Linked DNA regions of Mus musculus: regions 1 and 3 are each reported to be linked to region 2. Evidence: microRNA targets listed by miRTarBase, many of them from high-throughput screens and not tested one by one. Region 2 holds a microRNA gene; each other region holds the end of a gene's coding sequence.

What was found. Region 2 holds the annotated microRNA mmu-miR-1946a (AGCCGGGCAGUGGUGGCACACACUUUU, at 3,003-3,029, shown strand). A microRNA usually pairs through its seed, bases 2 to 8, with sites in the 3' UTR of a target mRNA and lowers its output. Matches are read on the target gene's strand: a 7mer-m8 pairs with bases 2 to 8, a 7mer-A1 pairs with bases 2 to 7 and ends in A, and an 8mer does both.
Region 1: the mRNA of Mga is a reported target of mmu-miR-1946a. Seed matches in the 3' UTR shown: 7mer-m8 at 657-663.
Region 3: the mRNA of Zbtb44 is a reported target of mmu-miR-1946a. Seed matches in the 3' UTR shown: 7mer-m8 at 2,900-2,906.

Annotation. Positions count from the first base shown.
Region 1 is chr2:119,964,559-119,969,673 of GRCm38, reverse strand. It overlaps Mga (MAX gene associated), which reads right to left. Exons shown (of 24, transcript NM_013720.2): 24 at 93-5,115. The coding sequence ends at 4,709. Among named protein-coding and RNA genes, the nearest start is that of Mapkbp1, 5.6 kb to the left of the region's middle.
Region 2 is chr16:32,265,387-32,270,568 of GRCm38, reverse strand. It overlaps Mir1946a (microRNA 1946a), which reads left to right and starts at 2,986; the gene lies at 2,986-3,119.
Region 3 is chr9:31,067,916-31,073,030 of GRCm38, forward strand. Zbtb44 (zinc finger and BTB domain containing 44) reads left to right here. Exons shown (of 6, transcript NM_001115130.1): 6 at 830-5,115. The coding sequence ends at 840. Among named protein-coding and RNA genes, the nearest start is that of Gm17508, 12 kb to the right of the region's middle.

The sequences.
Region 1 (5,115 bases), not on the chromosome of region 2:
TCCCAATGCAGGAATTAAAGGCATAGAATCAAGTCTTTTTTCCTTGAGACAAGGTCTAACTATGTGGTTCTGGTCAGTTTTTTTGCTTTTTTGCGGCGGGGGGGTTGTACACATATTACCATGGTACAAGTTTTTTTTTTCCCTACTATATGGTTTCTGGGGATTGAACTTTGGTCATCAGTGTTGACAAGCACCTTTACAAGTCATCTTACCAACCCGAGCTTTAATTTTCTATGTACTAAAGTCATTGATAAATGAGTTAATTTCTGTGTACATGCAGGTGCATCTGCACTTGTATGTGGGTATGGAGACTAGAGGACCACTTCTAGCGAATTCTAATGAATGTCGCCAAGTTGTTGGGACAGGTCTCTTGTTGGCCTGAGCTAACCCATTAGGCTAGACTAGCTGGCCAGAGAATACCAAGAATCCTCCCTGTCTGCTCCTTTCCAGTGCTGAGATTACACAGCTGGCATTCATAGTTTCTAAGAATTCAACTTCAGTCATCACACTTGGGAGGGAAGGACTTTTAATTAGCAATGATACATTAAGTTATTAAAGGACCCTTAAAAGTGCTTTCTTCAAAAGCAACAATTCTGTGCAAACAGTTTATTCTGATCCTTTAAGTACCAGTGACTCTCCATGAAATAAGGATCTAAGCCGGGCGTGGTGGCGCACGCCTTTAATCCCAGCACTCGGGAGGCAGAGGCAGGCGGACTTCTGAGTTCGAGGCCAGCCTGGTCTACAGAGTGAGTTCCAGGACAGCCAGGGATATACAGAGAAACCCTGTCTCGAAAAACCAAAAAAAAAAAAAAAAAAAAGAAAGAAAGAAAGAAAGAAAAAAGAAAAAGAAATAAGGATATAAGCCTTTAAGTTCCTGAAAACAAGCTGCCTACACTGTCCATGGCTTAATTCTATTAGAGACAAGTGGCATTGCTACTTTGCAGACTTGTCTTCAAGATGCACTGATCACACAATTCCACTAGAAATAACTGGTACAGTCAGGAAAAATGTATGGAATTTTATAAAAAAAAATATAAAGATGGGCATATGCCTTCAATCCCTGCAGGCAGAGGGAGGTGGATCTTGGTGAGTTCAAGGCCAGTTTGGTCTCCACAGAATCCCAGGCCATAGGTTGCATAGTGAGACCATCTCAAAAAACAAACAAGTAAATGGATGTATAGATGTCTACTGTCTTTTCTGTTCAAAACATTTTCAAAACTGTAAAAAAGGCCTACTATTAATTTTATCCACAATTCTGGGGGCACAAAAAACTTTTATCATAAAAGTATATAAGGTAAACACTTTTAATGAAGTTTATACAACTAACTAAACTTGATCTGTCAACTCCCTTAAGTCAGGACAGTTCAATGTTTAAAAGACTTCCATAAGAAGACTCTGTTAAGTATGAAACCCCTTAACATCTTGTCTTAAGAAGACCAATGAAGCTGTCAAGATGGCTCAAGTAAGTTAAAGTGTTTGCTGTGATTGCTTGACAATGTGAGTTGGATCCCTGGTAGGAGAGAAGTAGAAGTAACTCCACAAAGTTGTCCTGTAAGCTCCATGTACACAACAAGGCACACACAGCCAATATATACACACAAATTTAAAAAGAACACCTATTGTCTCCAGACATAAGATTGTGTTTCTGTCCTGTTGTTCCCCAAGGCAGCAGATAAAGACAGTGGTATTATGAAACTATTCTCACTATGGAACAGCAAATATTTGCCATCAAATTGTACATAATCTTGAAGTTCCAATTGAGACATGCTACAAGGACTAGAATACCAAAGGTCTTCCCAAATGACAGATCGAAAGCTTTCCAGTCAAGAAGCTTCAGAAAAGATCTCTTCAATGGAACCCTCTCTCAAATATGTCTGAGGGCATAAAGAATTCTTCAACCAGGCACAAACCTCCCAACACCAAATTCTGCTTTAATTAGTATAATTGGTTTATTTCAGGTTCACATGTCTTGCCTTTCAACTGCCAAACTTCTGTTATTTCTAAAAAAATAATCACTTTCAAAAGCAGAAATTAAAGATATATATTTAATATATAAAAGAAAATGCTAAATCTGACATAATTATATCCTTAAAAACATTCCATGTATTTACAGGTGTATAAAAGGCGAGTTATTGGTCGACTGAGATCATGCTTCTTAGTCAGGGTGGAGCTTTTTCCAGGTTCCTCCAATGTTCTCACTTGAATTCACTTTTCATAATCATACATATAATTTTAATAGATCAGTTTCTCCTAATGAAATGCTAAAGGGTAGGAGTTTAGGGAGATTTTTTATTTTTGTCAAGACTACATGATTGTTCTAAAGACTAAACCCTCCTCAAATTCGGCCTGATAGCTCCTAAATTTGTCTTAAGAACAATGTATCTTGGGAGTTTGTAATGACATCTGCAGCTTTCCCTGAACCAAATCTCATCTCTATCTTTGTACATCTTTCATAAACACAGGCAAGTATCTTCCAATAAAGAATAAACCCTGACCTGTTTTTTTTCTATGCTTTTTCAAATTTAAAAAAAAAAGAAAGAAAGAAAGAAAGAAAGAAAAGGAAAGGAAAGGAAAGAAAAGAGAAAAAAGTATTCGGAAGCCACAATGGTCCATTGTTTCCTGAGGATTATTCACTCCCTTGTTTTGTTTCTTGTCTGACTCTCAAAACCCAAAAGGGCTCTGGGAAGCCAGAAGAACACTCGGGAAAGAAACAGGCAATAAGACCACTGGAAACTACTATACCTGGGCTAAAGAACTAGCGTCTCTGAGGACAGCTGCTAGCAAGGGCGACAGGTGCTGCACTCCTTGGCTAAGGCATTGGATAAAGTCAGTTGGGTAAAGGACAGAAGGGACAGAGGAGAAGCTGAGGAATACTGTTTTTACTTTATCAGCTTTTGTAGTAAACAGGAAAGGTTAAGTGCTGATGACCTGTCTAGAGCAAGCAGCGCAAAACCAATGAAAGATTTACTACCACTGCCATTTGCAGTGTAAGTTTTTCATCATTTCAATCTAGTGATTATCAGAGTTAATCTAAAAAGGAAATCAAACATAGAAGTAATTCACTGGCTAGATTCATTCCAAAGTTGGTCTCACAACCTAGGTCAGAGGATACAGAGTGGGACTTAGGATAAAGACGCAGTAGTGTAAAAGAAATACAATCACCCAGGCACAGCCCAGGCACCGGAAGCACTTGTGTTAAAGTGTTTTTACAACACAAGCAAATCCTGTCATTGAAGACAGAACGGGTTACATTCCAAAATATAATTATTTAAGAAAGGCAAATGCAGCAGCTACATCTCAGTCTATACATTTTCAGAACAGTGATTCTTGCCTCACGAGTTCCCGAGAGACCCCTCAAATGCACCATGATTATTTACAAACTAGATAGGAAACATTTCTATACTCAATACAAATCTCTTCTAGGTCGAAAACTTCATCCTTTGAGAAATCTATGAAAACAACTATACAAAAATATAAATATCTTCATCTTTACAGGTTGTCAGTCCTTCATACCCTGACAGCCAATGAGTGAAAAAGCTCTACAGATCATTGATGCCATGATAGCAGATAAAAAATATACTTTGTGACTCAAATACTGCCTTACTTCCCTGGTAAAGATTGCTCACTCTGACTCGCCTTTTCTTTACATCCTGTGCAGGTGACAGTGAACAAAACCTTCAAGCACCTAGAGGCTGGTTTCATTTGGGAAATACCCAGCCCCACAAATTTTTATTTTGGCTACGGTCTCTGGTTAGGGGAGAAACTGCTTTTCATTTTAGCTGTTTCTTGAGTGACATGATTTGGGAAAGGGAAGGGCTGCCTCTATGTCTACTTCCAAAAAACAATGAGTAGAAATCTCTGGTATTATGAATGAATCTTTGTGATACCCCAAGAAATAAGGGAGAAGTATGTCTTTTTTAGTCTCTGAAAATAAGTATGTTAATAGTAAAAGTAAAAAGTATATTCCTACTTTACCAGAAAGCTTAGGTTTTTAATTATGACTGAAAGGGTAAGGGAAGAACTATTCTGGATATGAAACAGTCTGCTGAATGACAAAATCCCTTCACTTTGGTATTCCATAATATTCATCCTACCTACTATAACATTCTCTCTTCCTACTCCCCTGGCCCCCACAAGTGTGTATGTGTGTGTGTGTGTCTGTCCCCTTGATAGGCCAGGGTAGACACAAACTTGCAATCCTTCTGCTTTAGTCTTCTAAGTGCTGGAATTACAAGTGTGCACTACCATGCCCAGTCCTACCATGCCCTACTATTGAAATAGTAACTAAAAGTTCTTTTTTTTTTTTTTTCCCACACAACTGTATCATAATTCTCAGATTTTGGAGCCAACAACTATGACTTATACTTTAGTCTATAGTAATTCCAAGTCTCAAGCATTTTCTCAGGGGAAAATAATAAGGTAGTTGATGGAGCCAGAATCTTGTTATGAATTCCTTGGGCAAGAGGGAATCACACCTTCTTAGAGAAGATGAGGGGACCCAGCACCACAAGTGAGGTAACACATTTTTAACATGATCAGAATTTCAAACACCAGGACCAGCACCCTACACCTCCTTTCTCCATCAATATTCACACATAATTAAGTCAAGGATAATAGTTCCATAATACAAACAAACAGACGCCTACAGAGAAAGGAGGTGAAATTCATTTCCCCTCACAGCCTGGCTTTTGTATGAGGATGAACAAGCTCATTTCCCTGATGAACTTGATGGAGCTCCAGAGTTGCCCAATTTAGGTACAACAGGTGCCAATGTAGGCATCACCTTGCTCCCCCGGCCTTCCTGGTCAATTCCTGCTAAATTCATTTTGTGTCCAATTGACCCAACTTTGGCAGCTATAGGTGCCAAGGCAGGCATCACCTTGAGACTCTGACCATCGGCATCACTGGGGGGATTAGCTACTTTTAAACCTAATGGGGCCAACTTTGGCATAGGCCTCCACAAAGTATCTGTGTTGCTGTTCTCCGGGCCAGTCTTCATGTGTAAGATGGGAGGTGAAGATACACTTTCAGGCTCTGCGGGGAGACCAGAAGTACTCTGCCCTCCATCACTAGATTTCCTATGGGAAACAAGAGAATCCTTTATTTCAGGGTCAA
Region 2 (5,182 bases):
TTTCTTTTTCTTTCTTTCTTTCCTTCTTTCTTTCTTTCCTCTTTCTTTCTTTCCTCTTTCTTTCTCTTTCTTTCTTTCTTTCTTTCTTTCTTTCTTTCTTTCTTTCTTTCTTTCTTTCTTTCTTATTAGATAGCACTTTCTTTTTTAAGACAGGACTTTCCTTAGTCATTCTGAACTCTCTGTAGACCAAGCTGGCCTGTAACTCACAGAAATCTGCTGAAGGTAAGTACCACTATGTCCAAGTAACAGTACTTACCTGTGAGCCATCTCTCCAGCCCCAGGTTTTATATATTGATAGCTTTCTTACTAAATGAGGAACTAAATCAGCTTTTAAAGAGTGCCTTACTTCTTAAGGATGATAAGGATGGCTTAAAGTTAAAAATCTAACCAATGGTATAAACTCTGAGTACTATTGGGATCTTAGAGTAGTATTAAATAAGGAATTGATAGAAAAATACACATGGAGCAGAATTTCTCTGTGGTATGGTTGCTCAGTAGTCCTCTTTTCAGGAAACTAGCACAGGAGAACCTCCCCAGCCTATACATTCAAGGCCAAAAAGCTGGGCCCCATCTCACCCTTGGACCATTTCAAACAAACAATCCCCAAATTGTGTTATTTATTAAAACATGCAAACTCCAAAAATCATAGAGGATAACAGTAGATCACCTACTCCAATGTTGTGCACTGTCCATACACTGAATGATTTATTCTCACTCAATACTTACTGAGCATCATAAACAGGGAGTCAATAGATAAGACCTATGAATGAATGATGAGATGACAAATATCCTCCCTCCCAGAAAATACGCTAACAAAGAGGCAGAAGGTAGCAAAGCTGAAATACTGGGGGATAGCAAAGGAAACAGTCAGCAGAGTGGAGAGGCAACTGCAAAACGAGAGAATAGAATTACAAATCACAAACTAAACGAGGACCGAGATCTAAGACAAATATAAACCTCCAAAACCTTGGTAGAAAATCATAAAACTAATGATAATAACGCTATTTTATTTTAAGGTTTTGAGGTTTATTTTTATGTGTATGTGTGTTTTGGATGCATGTGTGTGATCTCCTTGTGCTTGCAGTGTTCACAGAGGCCAGATGAGGGCTCGGATCCCCCTGGAGCTGGAATTACAGGTGGCTGTTAGCGGTCATGTGAGAGCTGGGAATCAGACCAGGGTCCTTTGGAAGAGCAGTCAGTGCTTTGACTATTGAGTCATCTCTCCACCCCTGTAATGACACAATTTTAAAAGGGCAATAAACCTACCTGAGATTTTGGAACTGAAGGAAAGTGTGATGACTATTCTTGTCAACTTGAGTACATCTGAAGTTGAATGAAATCTAAAAATCGATTTCTGTGAGGGAAGTAGGTTGATCCACTTCTTTGTGTGTGTGTGTTGGTTGTTTTTGTCTTTGTTCTTGTTTTTTTTTTTTTTCTTTTAAAGATTTATTTATTTATTTATTTATTTCATGTATGTGAATACACTGTTGCTGTCTTCAGATACCCCGAAAGAGGGCATCAGATCCCATTACACATGGTTGTGAGCCACCACCTGGATGCTGGGAATTGAACTCAGGACTTCTAGAAGAGCAGTTGGTGCTCTTAACCACTGAGCCACCTCTCCATGTCTTTCTTTCTTCCTTCCTTTCTTCCTTCCTTTCTTTCTTTCTTTTCTTTTCTTTTCTTTTCTTTTCTTTTTTCTTTTTTTTTTTTTTTTTTTTTTGGTTTTTCAAGACAGGGTTTCTCTGTATAGCCCTGGCTGTCCTGAAAGTCACTTTGTAGACTGCCTGCCTCTGCCTCCTAAGTGCTGGGATTAAAGGCGTGCGCCACCACAGTCCGGCTCTCCATGTTTTTCAAGACAGGGTTTCTTTGTATAACATCCTTGGCTGTCCTGGAACTAGATTTGTAGACCAGGCTGGTCTTGAACTCACAGAGATCATCCTGTCTCTGCTTCTTCTGGGATTAACAACAATACCTGTTTGGTTGATCCACTTCTAATATGGATCTTTGAGATAAGAAGGCACGTACCTTTAATCCTTTTTGCTTTATCTTAGCCTGAAGCTCCAGCAGGCATTCCCTGGGAACCTACAGGCCACTCATGTCAGGAAATAGGTAGGGTGACTATAGGTCTTCATTTCTCTCTTTGTTCCTTCAAGTCAATCCTCCAGTCGCATCTCCAGTTCTGTAGTAGACCATCTGCTGCAGCCTTGACTTCCTCTCTGCCCTTTCCTCCAGTGGACCACACAGATCTTCCCTCTAACCTTTCTCACCACCACTCCCAACTCATCACTTCACACACACACACACACACACACACACACACACAACTCCAGCAGGCATTCCCTTGGAACCCTCTAGCCAAGCCTGGTGGAGAAGCCAATAGGCCATCAAAGCAGGTCAACAAAGGGCTTTATACTTTCATTCTTTCTCCTCTCATCCAAATCCAGAGGCGCCCCGTCCCCCACACCATTCCCTTAGTCTGTGGCCTCTCCTCACTCTCTGCCCCCATTCACAAGGGACTAAGCAGATTCTGGTGGAATACCCTGTTTTCCTCCTTCCTGTGGACTCCCTCAGACTGGACCCCTTTAATCCCATCCTCATTCCTAAGTAAATACATTGTACCTGGAGCCTCCAGTGACCAAACCTACCAGGATTCCAGAAGTATTTCCTACTAGGCAACTCACAGCCACCATGCTCACCTAAGACCCAGGCAGGGCAATAGAAACCAAGGAACAAAACACTCATCCCACAAAGACAAGTCCAGATATTGGCACCTAGAATTATAAACTTCCAAAGTCAATCCAGAGACATAGATGCCTGCATCTATAAAAACACAATAACAGCCAGGACAATATGCCTCTACTAGAGCCCAGCAACCCTACCTCCCCAGGCTCTGAGTATTGCAACATAGCTGAAGCATAAGACAAAGGCCTTAAACCAACCATATGACGGTCACAGAGGTACTTAAAAAGGAAAGGAAAAAATAACTTAAAGAAATCTATAGCCGGGCAGTGGTGGCACACACTTTTAATCCCAACACTTGTGAGGCACAGGCAGGTGGATTTCTGATCAAAGGCATGCGCCACCACTCTCGGCTTTCTCCTCTCCTTTTTTGTTAATCTCACAAATGGGAAGAAAAAGGTCACTGATCCAAATTAGTGTGGCCAAACTAATTAAAGCAAGCTTTTTTTTTTTTTTATCAATGTGCACTGCCCAAGGTGGGTTTGATATGAGGAAGATAAGGCTTTTATAGCTCAGGAGTAGGGAGGGGTTTGGTGGGGTTACAGGAGCAGAATATAACAAATTATACCCTTCTGAAACAAAGATACGGTTGCAAAGGTGGCCAGAACAAGGTAGCATCAGTAGTCATAGAGCCTTTTGAAACAAAGGTAGAGTTATAAGATGGTTATACACAAGTTTTTGAAATAAAGTTATGATTGCCATTCCTAGAACAAGCAGGACAGAATCATTTGTAGTTAAGCTTATAGGTGGGACATAGCCCAATCCTTGAGAAAATGAGCCTAGTTTGTCTTTGTTATAAGATGACTTTTAAGCCTAAGATGGAGGCAAGCTGGTTCTTTTTTTACCCTGCAGATTCTTTGCATATATACTATGGATTCCACTTTAGTATATTTTTGGGACTCCTGACTGTGTGAATAAGCAGGTCTCTGATTCTTGTGCCTTCTCTTGGGCTCTTTTCCTTCTGTTTTGTTTTGTTTTGTTCTGATATGTTAGTGAAAGATCCTGACAGAATGTAAAAGATCACAGAAGCCCTGAAATTGGCAAAATAGATTTCATTGTCAGCAGAACTAGCTTCACTGATTTAGAAAAATAGAGGTGCACAATGTTCTGGCTGCTCCTTGAACCCCTGTATGTGCCCACTGCTGCAGCCCACTGCCAGGTGTTTGTGATATTGGTTGCTGGGAAAGAGTCAGAAAATCTCCCCAGCAACCACAGCTGGGGCCAATCCAGAGTTGCTGCACCTGCACCAGACTCTTTCCTTGTACCCCTCCCATACCCATTTCTTGAGAAATCATTTTAGAATAGACATTGTTTAGATCTGGAAATCCCCTACTCCCTCCTTCTCCTTTCCCCCCTGAGGGCCTATAAAAACTGGGACCCCTTTCCCCTTGGGGTCGACTCCTCTACCTCTGCATGGGATACAAGTCGTCCCCAGAGCTCTGGCTTTCCCCAATAACGCCTTGTGTGGTTTGCATCAAGCTTGGTCTCTCGTGAGTTCTTGGGGGTCCACTATTATCCCCAGACTTGAGTGAGGGTCTCCCTTTAGGGGTCTTTCATTAGTTTTTGTTTTATTATTTTAATAATATTATAACTTCCTTTATTATTTTTGTTTTTTCGAGACAGGGTTTCTCTGTATAGCCCCTGGCTGTCCTGGAACTCACTTTGTAGACCAGGCTGGCCTCGAACTCAGAAATCCGCCTGTCTCTACCTCCCGAGTGCTGGGATTAAAGGCGTGCACCACCATGCCTGGCTTTATTATTATTATCTCTTAGAAGCCTGGTTGTTACCTGGAAAGTGGTGGTGCATCCCTTTAATCCCAGCACTTAGAAGGCAGAGGCAAGAGGATTTCTGAATTCAAGGCCAGCCTGGTCTACAGAATGAGTTCTGGGAAAGCCAAGAACTCAAGACAGAAAAATCCTGTCCAAAAAAAGAAGAGGAGGAGAAGGAGGAGAAAAAAAGAAGAAAAGGAAGGAAGGAAGGAAGGAAGGGATAAAGGAAGGAAGGAAGGAAAAAGCATATTTGTTTTCTAATGAGAGACAGAAAGAGGCAGATCTGGATGGGAAGGGAAGTAGGGAACTGTAGTATGTAGTCTTGTGTTCCTGGTTGTTGCATACACGTACCCTCCCAGGAGCTATCTCAGATCTGTGAATAAGACACATTTGTGGGGCTGGGGAGATGGCTCAGTGTTCTTCCATGGATCCTGAGCTCAATTCCCAGCAATGACGTGGTGGCTCACAACCATCTGTAGGAATTTGATGCCCTCTTCTGATGTGTTGAAGACAGCGACGGTGTATTCATATACATGAAATAAGTAAATAAATCATTAAAAACAACAAAAGACGTATACATATTAGCTCATTTTAAAACTGCCTTATGGCTCTATTACGCCTTCCACGGCTAGCGTGCCCTTACCTTTACTTCAGCTCAATACCTCATCCCT
Region 3 (5,115 bases), not on the chromosome of region 2:
TTTACTTTTCCCTCCAGACCAGGTGCTCATTCTACTTAATGAGTGCTGATTCTGAATGTATGGTTATATCATTAAAGCTAGCTAATACTTACTAGACATAGTTGTTGAGGAATTAAATAGTCCAGTTTTACCACTCCTGTGTGTCTTTCCCATATAGGACCCTGTATCTTACACTACTCTTCTCTAACCCTTGAAGACTTTTTAGGAAATATACACAAGACATTAGAAGTTACTTTGCAGACAGACAGATTTTAATTTGTCCATTACTACTGAATATTCAAATTATTAAGTGGTCACTCCAGGTGTGATAGGAGATTCTTTCCAAATTCTTAGTAAAGTGTACTACTTTTTCCATACATAGTAAGGTGAAAACTTAATTTCTACATCTCTCAACTTCCTATAGTAAATGTATGTAAGGTCATGCATGCATAAAGACTGAGCTTCTTAGCTAACCTCTACAAAGAGGTATTACAAAAGAAATACAGAGCTAGGTCTATATAAACCTCTTACTCGGCTTAGTCACATGATGCTTGCTTTAGTGAAATGCCACTCACATTATATACAGACTCCTATATGTAGATCCAGAAAGGCCTTTGAAGTGTCCAGAGAATCACTGGAAGTGATCATTAATCTTTTTTATTGCCCATAGGGAGGTGGGATGCACATTGGTTCTACTGAATGGCTTCAGTTGATATTTGGGAAAGCTTATTTATATTAACTTCATTGAATAATTAGTGAAATGAAAAGCCCCAGACTTGTATTATAGATGATATCTCTTTATTATAGTTTGAAAATTAATTTTGTATTTTATCCTTTGCCTCTCATTTAGTGATTTCTTAGTACCGGACTACTTAAACCAGGAGCAAGAAGAGACCCTTGTTCAGTATGATCTTGGAGAACATACTTTTGAAAGCAACTCTTCTGTTCAAATGCCTGTGATTTCACAGGTCTCCTCAACCCAGAATTGTGAAAGCACTTTTCCCCTGGGCTCTCTTGGTGGGCTTACAGAGAAGGAGGAGGAACTGCATGAGCAGCCAAAGACCAGTGCTCCTGCTGAGGCGCCCAGGGATGACCCCCCTAAGGCAGAGCTGCCTGCTATAACTATTGAGTAATTCTGTGATTGGCCTGGGGTTTGGTTTTTTGGAAAGTGCCTGTGCTTGGTCTCATATGTTTAAATTTAATTTAATTTTTAAAGAAGGGTTCCCTTTGTAAACCCTAAAACTGGAGGGTTCTATGTTTTGTTTTGTTTTTTCATAGCTGAGAGATTGCTTCTGTATGTATACAATAAGGTAACATTGAAACAGAACATAAACTTTGAGACTTAAGGAAAAGCAGCTGACTTAGAACATGGCAGTTCTTCCTCCCATTGTTAAAAGTGGGCAGCAGCAGATACAAAAGAACTCAGGCTGTGGTTGACCTTCCTGAGAGAAGAGGGCTAATGAGAAGTTATTAAACAGTTTGACAAGGCCTAAGTAAATGTGTACTCCTAAGTGCAGGGTGTTATAAACCCTGTAGTTTTGGAAGTATTTGTGGTGGGTTTGTTTTTGTTTTTGTTTTTTTCAGATGAAGGTAAATAACTTCTGAAATCCAGTATATTCTTTTTTAAGCCATTTTGAATTTTCATAGTGAAAAATTAGTATCAGGCAGGTATTTCCTGTACCTTTATAGCACCACTCCAGAGGCTAAGAGGTGTGGTTGAGAAGAGTCAGGCTGCATGTGGAATGGCAGGGTGCAGAACGAGGTACGTATACCCAGCTTTGCAGAAACTCTCCTGAGACTTTCTCTTCCTGGTCATTGAATGCTGACACCTGGCTAACTAGGGCATTGCTCAGAGAAGTGTCCTCGTGTCCCACCAACAGCACTTTCATTTGCATATACTATTGTGCTGCCATATAAAGGAGAAATAGTGAAGATATTCTATATTTTATATATAGGTTTATGTATTGTTGAGGATGTCGATGCTGTGCTGTTTTGGACAAAATAAAAGAATTCTGTTTTGAGGCTACATTCTTAACCCAATTAAGATTGTTTACAAGGTCACATATGACAACAATATAATGTCCTTATTCCAAAATATTTTGAGGTATTGCCAAGTTTGTTAAAAGCTTTCACGAGATGTAAGCAATAATGTAAAAGATACGACGAGGTTGTGAGTGATCATCTGTGACTCAGACATGGAGGGAGGGATTGTTAAGACCAGAATCTTAAAAACTTTGCTACTCAGACGATAACATTTATATGATATTCTAGATTGGGATATACTTTTTTATCTTTTGCCATTAAAGCCTCTTTGATCTAAAATATTTATGAAGCCACGAGTAATGAACTTTTGTGTAATTTTTTATATAGAAAATAGCCCCAATGTTTATCGTTATGATAGCCCCTGATGGGGTTAGAAGATAAAAACAACATTTTGTTTGTTTGTTTGTTTGTTTGTTTGACTTTGGACACTCTCTTTTGTTTTGTGACAGGATCATAGGTAGTCCAGGTTGGTCCAGAACTCATCATCCTCTTGCCTCAGTTTCCCAACAACCTTTGCTACCATTATATATTATAGACACACATCACCACACCCAGATCAGACTATAGTCTTAGTCAAACACCTGATCTGACTTTTATCCCAATGCCAAACCTTACTTACTTTTTATATTATAGTAATTTGTTTCTTTAAAATTTATTAATTCTGCAATTTAATTTCTGGTTTTTTGTAGGTTTTTTGGTTTTGTTTTGTTTTTGGGTTCTTTTTTTTTTTTTTTTTTTTTTTTTTTTTCCAAGACAGGGTTTCTCTGTGTAGCCCTGGCTGTCCTGGAACTCACTTTGTAGACCAGGCTGGCCTCGAACTCAGAAATCCGCCTGCCTCTGCCTCCCAAATTCTGGGATTAAAGGCGTGCGCCACCACGCCCGGCTGAAATTTAATTTCTATCTCTGTTCTTTTTTCTTCTTGATACTGAGAATTGCACCCAGGACTTTGTATATGATGCGCACGTGCCCTGTCACTGGTCACACCCCCACCCTGAGTCCCAGTTGTTTTTTACCTGACTCATGGCTGATTGCTCCCAAGCATAGGTGGGTAGCTTTCAGAAAAACCAACTAGGAAAGTCAGTCATTTTTATTTTTTTATCATACATGATCTTTGAAAACTGTGCCTAGTAATAAAGAAATCCTAAAACTCACTAGAATCCTATTTTAGTATGGTAAATGTTCTTGGTTCTAAATTGGGTTGTTTTGTCTTGGTTTTTTTGTTTTTTGTTTTGTTTTGTTTTGTTGTTAAGAGCTAGAAAAAAGTAAAAGGAAGAAAGAAATGAGAATAAATCAGAGATGAATTGATTTGAAGAATTCTTTTTAGATTGTTTTGATTGAAAGTGTTTGAGTCTACTCTATCCTAAGAGTCGTGTGTTAGGACAGCCCTGGCAGCCTCCCTGTGAAGGACACACCTCCCTGTGGATTTTTATCCCTAGTGGCAAAGCTTGTAGCCAACCTTAGTGACAGATTTGAATATACTATGAATGCACAAATGGTTAGTTGCCTACTACCCAAACATTTTTAATAAACTTACCTAACCAGTGTTTAATATAAAATGATACAAAGGCTTTTTTCTGTTCCAATGAGACTCTACATTTTTAAGGATATTTTGTTTATGGGTCTGTTATAGGAAATACAACTGCAAGAGATAATTGTATATATAGTAATATTTAAAGTTTATTTAAAGTTGATTTAAGAGAGGAATGCCTAGATGTATACTTTTCACCAGAACATATGGAAAACATTGAAGAGATGAAAGCCAGTTACGATCCCGTCATAGAAATCACCAGGGTAACTAAACAGAGAATCATTCTTGTTTAGAATATTTAAAGGTAGCTATCTTTTGTAAGGCCAACAAGGGTACCTTTGTGATATTTAAAGGGCTTAAATTTTAGAATGCTAGATAAATTACTTTTTAAAAAACAAAGCATTTTATATAAGAAAAGCTTTGTTTTCAGTTTTTTTTTTTTTTTTCCAACTACCAAATAGATAGGATGTGCTTTAGAAGCAAAGCTCTTCCCGTGTTGTCAGGAGTCGTAGCTCCTCGTGTCAGTCTTTGCATTTCCAAACTCTAGCCTTCAGAGTGTAATGTCAGGAAATCACTAACTCAGAAACAGAAATTTGACAGTAACCTTTACTTTATGCGTTTAAATTTTTCAAGAAATGGATGTAGATAAATGTTAATATCCACTTCCCTTAATTGGCCATTTTAAACAATCCTAATTTTTATTTTCAGTTTAATTTCAAGTTTAACCACAGTTCATTATATTAATAGGTTTTATTTTGGGTTTTTGTGGAGTGTTTGTTTTTTTTTTAAGTTCACAGTTTTGCTAAGACAAAGTGTGCTAAGCTGTTTAGGTTTGACCGTTTGGAGTCCCAATAGATAAACAGGATCCGTGTTAAGATACATTCCCTTTGCTATAAAAAACAAACAAACAAACATGCTTGTGTTTGTTAAACTGTTTTACTAAGAGTGAAGTAGTCAGGGCCTCTGATTCGCTGAGTCACTGGTAACTCAGCTTCCTTCTAACTGCTGAGCCAGGCTCTCCTGTCTTATAACTCATCCCTGTTCCTTTGGAAGCTATGTTAAGTCTTTCACTCCTTTAAAAAACAAAACAAAAACCTCTTATTTTATTCTCTTAGTCTAATTACTAGAAGCCACTTTTGCAGAGCGCGTGTCCATTTTCAGATTAAGCTTTAGCCTGTTAGCTTTGGAGTCCCTGCAAGGTGCGTGACCATACAGTGCTATGCAGGTGGCTTCTCTACCAGGATCACAGAGAATGATTTCTTATGATGGCAAATGAATGCTCGGTCCTCAATTTTAACTGAAGAGATTTTGATTTGTAGATGTAATGAACAGGTGAATTGGAAACTTGCATTGTCCTGCATCACTCATCTGCCCCAAGGGCCTTCAAGCTCGGAAGTATACATCTTCGTGAAGGAGTGATTTTTGAGTTCTTAACTAGGGGTGGGGGAAGGACCTAGGAAAGCTCACATGGAGCAAACAGCCCCAAGGTAGGGGAGGAAGGTGAGTTTTCACTGCACTGCTAAGTGTTGCCATCAGATGTCTTTTTGTATTTTGATAGTAGAAAC